Linked DNA regions of Coturnix japonica. The protein of the gene in region 1 purifies or fractionates together with the protein of each later gene. This does not show direct contact. Links are inferred from orthologs where the notes say so. Each region holds a gene or a part of one and is shown in the gene's direction. Other genes may lie near its edges.

Evidence for each region.
Region 2: the proteins of IFT81 (region 1) and IFT74 purify together in Homo sapiens (affinity purification with mass spectrometry; 3 studies listed by BioGRID and IntAct, counting the BioPlex papers as one, with this or other methods). This does not show direct contact. The link is inferred for Coturnix japonica from reciprocal best matches to the Homo sapiens genes IFT81 and IFT74.

Annotation. Positions count from the first base shown.
Region 1 is NC_029530.1:4,608,730-4,612,550, reverse strand, and holds part of IFT81 (intraflagellar transport protein 81 homolog), read left to right. Parts: intron 1-1,416; coding exon 1,417-1,566; intron 1,567-2,575; coding exon 2,576-2,704; intron 2,705-3,634; coding exon 3,635-3,724; intron 3,725-3,821. UniProt on the Homo sapiens protein: Component of the intraflagellar transport (IFT) complex B: together with IFT74, forms a tubulin-binding module that specifically mediates transport of tubulin within the cilium. Binds tubulin via its CH (calponin-homology)-like region.
Region 2 is NC_029547.1:60,475,775-60,479,595, forward strand, and holds part of IFT74 (intraflagellar transport protein 74 homolog), read left to right. Parts: intron 1-353; coding exon 354-452; intron 453-617; coding exon 618-678; intron 679-1,169; coding exon 1,170-1,229; intron 1,230-2,105; coding exon 2,106-2,167; intron 2,168-2,607; exon of another isoform or gene 2,608-3,294; coding exon of another isoform or gene 3,295-3,620; intron 3,621-3,821. Other genes in the region: LRRC19 (leucine-rich repeat-containing protein 19), read right to left, coding at 3,295-3,620. UniProt on the Homo sapiens protein: Component of the intraflagellar transport (IFT) complex B: together with IFT81, forms a tubulin-binding module that specifically mediates transport of tubulin within the cilium. Binds beta-tubulin via its basic region. Required for ciliogenesis.

The DNA of each region.
Region 1 (3,821 bases):
ATCCTTTCCAATGCACTTTACGGTATTCCACTGATCAGATGAAACCTCTGTGCATCTACTCCATCAAGACGAAGGACTGCTTCTCTTAAATAATTGGAGAGAAGCTATTTATGCTCTATAATGTATTGAAAGTCACAGAAAACTTGGTGTTAGCTAAGCAATACCAAAAGAAAATAAGTCTTGTCTGTTAGCTAGGTGGGTATATGTGAATTTGCTATGAAAAATTGCTCACTCTGGTAATATTATAGTAAGTGTGCCAGTAGTATAACAATGACAGTATGACTGTAAGAGAACTGCCTCTGCTGCACAGTGCTGTGGATTAGGTGACCTTGTCTATCCTTGTCCTAGGTAGCGCATACAATGTAAAATGGTATTCCAAACCACACATAGTCCAATCTGCATAGAGCACATTGAGTAATTTGTGGGTTTGTTCTTTCACCAAAAACGTTTATAGCTTTTGGCTTTAAAAATAGTTGTGGAGCATAGCAAGAGAGAAGCAGCTTTGGCCTAGATATTGCACAGGATGGCAGATGAACAGGGTTGATTTCATTTTGGGCATTTTGCCCAGGAGACTTTTTATAGAACATACAGTTACTCTGGGGGTTCTTAGGCTGTGGTCGCTCTGGTTTTTTGCATCCCTTCTTTAAGAGGGAAAGTGGCGTAATTTTGCAAAAAGAAAAAAAAAAAAGTAAAACTTAAAATCCAAGTTCTGTTATGTTTGAGTTTTAAACTTGAGGTGGTGAGGCTCCTGTTTCCTCCTGGTCCTGTCACTTGTTCACTATGCACAGGCTGAACGCTCCTGTGAGGAACACTCTGAAGCCTGTTCCTGCTGCATCTACTCTAATAAATGTTATTTGTTTTCCATCGTTGGATCTGAGTGCATTTCAGAGCTGTGACTGGCAGCTCCGAGAGCTCTGCCTGTTCGACAGATGGAAAACATTCAGGCAAAGAAAAACATGACATGTTTGTTTCAGCACCTGATTTTTCATCTTGCAAATCGAGCACGTGTGGATTCCAATGTAATTTAGCTGTAGGGATGTGAACTATTTTGCTTAGTCTTCAATATAACTATAAAATCCCCAGTTCTTCCAGATTTGGGTGAAACATTTTGCAAACAGTAATTAGTTTTCTGACTGTCCAGTGGTGGTAAGTAGAACTGAAGGGTTTTTCTATGGCAAATGGATGAGCTGGGATAAAGCAATGGAGATGGATTTCTTATCTCACACAGCAAGCATACGCTGCTGAAAGTAAATAGACTCTGGGAATCCTCGATTCAAGTCCTCTGTTTTAAACACTTAACCTTCAGCATGCAGTCCAAATAGGATATTTATGTTTTATAGAGGATCAGTCTGTGATGAGACCATGCTCTTTTTAACTTTAAGTTGAATGATAGATACTTCTGTTCTCTCGCTGCAGCTTAAACACTATGTTAATAAGCTCCGGAGCAAGAACACAGTATATAAAAGGAAGCGACTGGAAATAGCAGAAATTACAGCTGAGTATGGCATCCTCCAGAGGACAGAAGAACTCCTAAAACAGCGGCACGAGGCTATTCAGCAGCAGTTGGTAATGCAAGCACTTAATAGTCCTATAGTCCACCACCCTTCCTTCCCTGCTAACTAGCCATATAATAAGGTGGATGCTATTTGGTTATTTTCTAATGCACGCCATCCTACTGTCATTAGTAAAAGAGTCGTTAGGGAACAAAATCTATTTGACTGCGCTAAGCTGCTGTACTTCATATTCAGCAACTGTTTTTTACAGGAAGTCATGAATGTTCTGCAATTTCTGTTCAGAATGAGGGGCTTGACCCTGCTTTCTGAAGTCAGTGGTAGATCTTCACTAACTCCAGTTAAAGCAGGGCTGCATTCTTATGTTAGGGTTTTCCCCTCATATCAAATGAACCCTTTCTAGCCCTGGTGTTACAGCCTGTAAACATCTGCAGAATGCTCCCTTCATAGTAGCAGCAGCTCCTTGTAGAGACATATGCTTGTAGAAGATTTTTGAGGATAATTGACTTTGGTGTTCATGGATAGATGGCAGTTTTAAGAATGAGTGCTTTGCAAATTGCAAATCAACACCTAGCTTTCAGCTTACTGAAAAAATAGCCTCCTTCCATTACATCAGCACTTAATTTAGTATAAATTTTATGTACCATAATGCAAGGATGTTGTAATCTGGCATTAATATTGCTGTAATTAATGCAGTATTTCTTTAGTTTAGCTTGACAGTTGCTTATAAGAGATCAGCTACCTTGCATCTTCTGATTAAGCATCTGGATATCACATATTGAGCTCCTTCACAGCCTGACCTAAAGCCCATTTCACATTGTTGAAACTTCCTGTTAATTTCATTGGGCATTAGATGACAGAATAGTGATGTACTACAGGAAGTTGTTACTAGCTTGCTGTACAGGCACGAGAGAAAAAGTTTGTCTTGGCAGCTGCATTACTAATCGCCTTTAAAATAAATGGATTGCAGAACTTTTTCACTTTCTTACAGTATTTCATCTTTATGAAGTAATTTGCTCTGTTAATTAATGGATTCACATTCAGCATTTATTTTGTGTCTGCAGCAAGCTATTGAAGACAAGAAAGGTATTTCTGGATACAGTTACACTCAGGAGGAGCTGGAAAGAGTATCTGCAGTGAAGAGTGAAGTGGATGGAATGAAAGGCCAAACGCTAGACAACATGTCTGAAATGGTGATGTCTGTCTTTAGCTGTTTTACTGCCTCCGTTTCGATATCTGCTTCCTCACAGTATAAAACCAAGTTGAATATTTTGGTTGGACTTTTCACTTTTAATATAGATTTATATAGAAAAATAGATACTTTCAAACAGTACAGATTACAAGCTTTGTCTATTTTTTTGTCTATTTTTGACTCTTTTTGCCTGCTATTTGACTAGATTAATTGCTTGACTCTTTTACAGCATCATTTTATAAAACGTAAATCACCAGGGTTAAGTATTCATTTAAAAATAGTTCATTTGTCTGAAGAACTAAATGTTATTTCTTCTCTTTAGCTTAATTTTCAGCTGTCCTTAGATCTGTAGTGTTTTAACTTACCATGTAGCCATAGAAGCAAAATATTATAAAGGAGCCAAAAGCCAAATAGCATTCTTTAAAATCATTAGGGCACTTTAAAAATAAAGTGGTAGAATCAAAACAGGATGAATCTCAAATAGAAAGATGGGAAGAATTTGAATTTTCAGTATAAATATTTTGAAGTGATTCTGTTTTAGCAAGTTCAAACTTTATTTCACCTATGCAGGGCTTATTTTGGTTGGTTTATTCAAAGATCTCTTCTGCCACTCCAACTCTGTGCAGTTCCTTTGTTTTCCCCTCTCCTGAAGCCAAATGGCATCTGGCAGATGGGTCTGCTGGTCTTGTCTGTGGTGTTCTGTCAAACGCTGGGAACAGAACTGGTCTGGTTTGTGGTAATGATCTCAGTGCAACACAGGCTCTTTCCCTTTCTCAATTAGTTCTGCATTTAAGTTATATACAGTTCAGTCTTCTTTTGTCACACTTTTTTTTCCTCTCCATAATTTTGTTTTCAACTCTTTTCACAATCCTAATAAATTAGATGTATTAATACCATAATATCAGTGTGTAACATTTTGTCCCTCTTTCAGGTAAAGAAATTAAATGCTATGGTGGCAGAGAAGAAGTCAAGCCTGGCTCCTGTCATCAAAGAACTGAGACAGCTGCGTCAAAAGTGCCAGGTTGGTAGAAACACTTCAGAATACTTTGAACAGTGCTTATGGATGGAATAGGGTAGGCAGCAGGCAGACGTTGGGGGGCAGTCCTCTGTTTTGCTCT
Region 2 (3,821 bases), on another chromosome or scaffold:
TCCTGAAAGATGGTGTCAGGTTTTTTTTATATGCACAGTGTCCATATTCTGTGGAAGGATGCTATGATTTTTTTGGTCTATTTCAAAAACATCAATGCTTGTTCCAACCAGACCAAAAACATAATGGAAACAATTTCACAGCTGGGTTTTGTAATGTTTGCTTATGACTTTATCTGGCAGAACTTCTTTAATTTTTCCTTATTTATCTTGCTTTTCTTAGAAATGGTTTGTTGGAAACACAGCACAGTACTGTGTGAGCAGGATAGTGTTTCCTTATTGCACGGAGTACAGTTTTGTTTTTCACTGTGTTTCAGTTTTACATTTAATTTTTTTTTTAATGTTATTTTTTGCAGAAGCAAAACCAGTGAACTCACAGCAGAAATTAACAAGCTGCAGGAAGAAATAAAAATGTACAAGGAAGAGAAATCTGCTTATTTGTCATATGAGAGAAGGTGAGCTCTGTGGCACCTAACGCAAAGTTAACTTTCTCAATCACCAGACTTTGTTCTAGGCTACTATTCAGGCTTCAAAGAACCATTGAATTAGTCTTTTTTATTATTTCATTTGGATTAAATAACGCTTCCTGTTTTAAGTTTGGCTTCTTGCTTTGTATTCAGGGCAGAGGCTTTAGCTGGTGAAATCAAAGAATGGCAAGGTCAGCTCGAAGACTACAACATGGTATGCTTGTATCAGCTTTCTATACTGAAAACACGCTTTGCCCTTCTTTCCTTTGTTTGCTACTGATTTCGCTTTACTTCAACTTCTTTTTTCATTGCTGTTTCTCCTTAAAAGTGTAGTGGATAATGATTCTGAGTTTATTCAGTTACCAGAAGAGGAAAAAAGAAAACAGAAGCTAAGGAGAAAAAAACAAGAAATTTTGATATGTGTAAGCATAAGGTGTTGCTGATGCAATTAGGAAATCAGCGCTGTATGATAATTGAGTTTGTACAGCCGCATTAAATGAGAATTACTTCTTAGAACTGTGTGTAATCTGTTCAGGTTTAAAAGTCAAATCTTTTTGTTTCTAGATAAATACTGTATTTTCACAAATGCTTTGTGAGTTGCTACTTATTTTTCTGTTTCTTTTTTTTGTGTGTGTGTGTATGTACTTATTTTTGCTTTTTAACTAAGTAAGAATTCTGACAGGTTGAAATTCTGTCTATTATCAGGTTGTGGATCTACTTAATACCAATACAGACATAGCAGAAGTGATTCGTGATTACAATTTGGTAAGAATTAAGATATTTGGTATATTTAATCAACGGAATGGCATAGATTAGATGTCAGTGCTTTGAACACCTGACTTGTATAGAAAAGCACAATACTAGTTCAGAATATTTATTGTCTTTTCTAGTTTAAATTGGACATAATACTTGGCAACGTTATGTGTTTGCAGTGAGTTAGCCATGTAAAGTCTGGGCAGATGATAGTGCTTCTGTGAAGATAGTGCACCTGTGTCTTGGATTTGAGAAGGCTGTTTCAAAGTTAAATTGCAAGTGTTGCATTACATTATTTATCTGACTAAAAAGCACAGAATGCTGTGTGTTATGTTTTCTGTCATAAATAACTCCAATCAAGTCTGTGATGTGGACAATGTTTTTCATGATAATGAGATGAATTATCCAAGTATTAAAGCTTTCAAAGCATGTTCCGTTTCTTGAGACTACTTTTCCTGTTACTTTGGTAGCTTGAAAAACCACCTGTGTGTTTCTTGACCATTTTTATTTTCCGTGTTTGACTGAAAAATGAAGTCTCATTGTCTGTGTCACAAAGGGAAGAGAGCTCTGTTACACTTGCATTCTACCTCTGGGCTTAAGCAGTATTGTAGTAGTGGATCCCATAGTAATAGTATGGAAATTGATTTGCTACAGACTTGCTTGCACTTCTTTTTCAAGCACAGAAGGGCAGTGGAAGGCTACAATTTCAGAAACTATTTCTTCAGGACAGCCTCAAACAGCTCTGGAGCAGGAGGCCTCTGCTCCTCCTTTCTCTACTGCATTCTGAGCAGCTTCTTTCTCCATTGCAGAACCTTGAACTTGTGCATACACTATGTTTTCTTCTTATATATTATATTCAAATATATATATTTTTTCTTTTTTCTCTAGTTAAAAGTTCAGAATGACCGAGAAGCTCAGAGTGTGGATAAAATTTTCATGGAAAGACAAACGTAAGTGCACGACTTATATATGCCTGTCTAATACTGCCAACTCTTGACCTGAAAACGGTAAAATGGAGAAGTTACTGAGTTCAGAAATTTGTCAGCAGTGTCATCCATGAAAGTGACGATATCCCAACATTTTAGATCATATATCAGTGTCAAGTTGAAGCTGGAATTTCTGCCTTTAAATTCTTCTGAGTAACTACTGCGGTGATAACTTACCTTGTTATCCAGAAAGAAATAGGTGGCATTGAATTCTCCTGGTGTGTGGAGACCTACGGATTGCAGATTATGGGTGTTGTGTTGTAGCAGACAGGGAAAAGTAAAGCGTAAGTGGGGACTGGAACTGCAATTCCTGTCTGGTACAGTAAGGATGCATATAAAGAAAGTGAGCTGTTTGCAATAGGGATTTGTAAGTCATGAGAACAGTTGGTGATAGGCTGAAAGGGTGATATTTGTAAAATAGCGTTTTGCCATTTATTAAGAAGGCATTTTTCACTAAAGCTGTGGTTTTCAGCAGCTTGTAAATATGTCTGGTTTGTCTGTCAATATATTTCTAAGTGTTAACAAGGTGTGCAGAGACTTGGTATGATCAAGAACTAAGGCATAAAGGTATCAGATAAGTAGTGCTGCTTATCATTTTACTGTATGTGGGCACATTTACGTTGGTCTACTGATTCAGTGTAGATATTTATAGGTATTTGTTTTGCCTGTTAATGCACCGATCTGTTGGATTCCGTCCCCCAGTCTGTGTTCTATTTCAGTGATTTAAACAAAGAGTTTTTTGTTTCTGGCTTCTTCATCTATATGGTGTCAGTAATTACATCAGGCTCACAACCTCCTTTTAAGGACTTGGTCCTCTCAGGCAGTGTGGAGTAACCTCTTTTCCTCCCATAAATCATAGTGCCTTTTCTCAAACGTGAATCATCAGTATTCTATCATGTGTCAAAATATTTGTTGTGACACTAACGTGGACGTGACCAAATTTGTAACCTTTGTGATTTGTGCAGCTGTTCTCTGTCGCAAAATTCTTGAGATGCGAGGCTGCTTATGTTCCTTTTATACTGTATTTAAATAGCATAATATGGAAGGCTGAATAGATTGAAGAGTCAGTTCATTGTCCATTGCGTAAGATATTAGCTCTGCTCAGTTCCATAAGTATCTATGTATTTGTCCTCAATAAAGCCATCTTCCTCAGGTTCAGAAGTGTTAGTTTTGTCAAATATTACTATGGGATCCTCATTGTTTGTATCTGATATCGCAGGAAAAGAATTCATGTCAGCTGAGAACTCCTGTTCAAACATCTCAGGGTCGTTTTCTTCCAGACGACGGTGTCTGTAGCTCATCAAATACTGGTACCATGTTGGGCATTTTATGGCAGTAAAAATTAGGAGTGTAGTGCTTAAGACAAACCCCAGCACTCCCACGAGGAAGGTCCAGCTTTTGCCGAGAACTGGAAATTCTTTTAAAACAGACAGGAAAAAAAAGTTAGTTATATCTTCATGTGTAATCTCTGAAAGAACTCTAGTATGAATTTCTTAGTAGTTAGATTGAGAACACCTAAACAATCACAGGGGGATAACTGATTTATAATAAAGCCTGAAAAAATCACTTGTTTTATGGCTTTGATGAAAGAATAACGGTGTAGTAGGAATGTAAAATG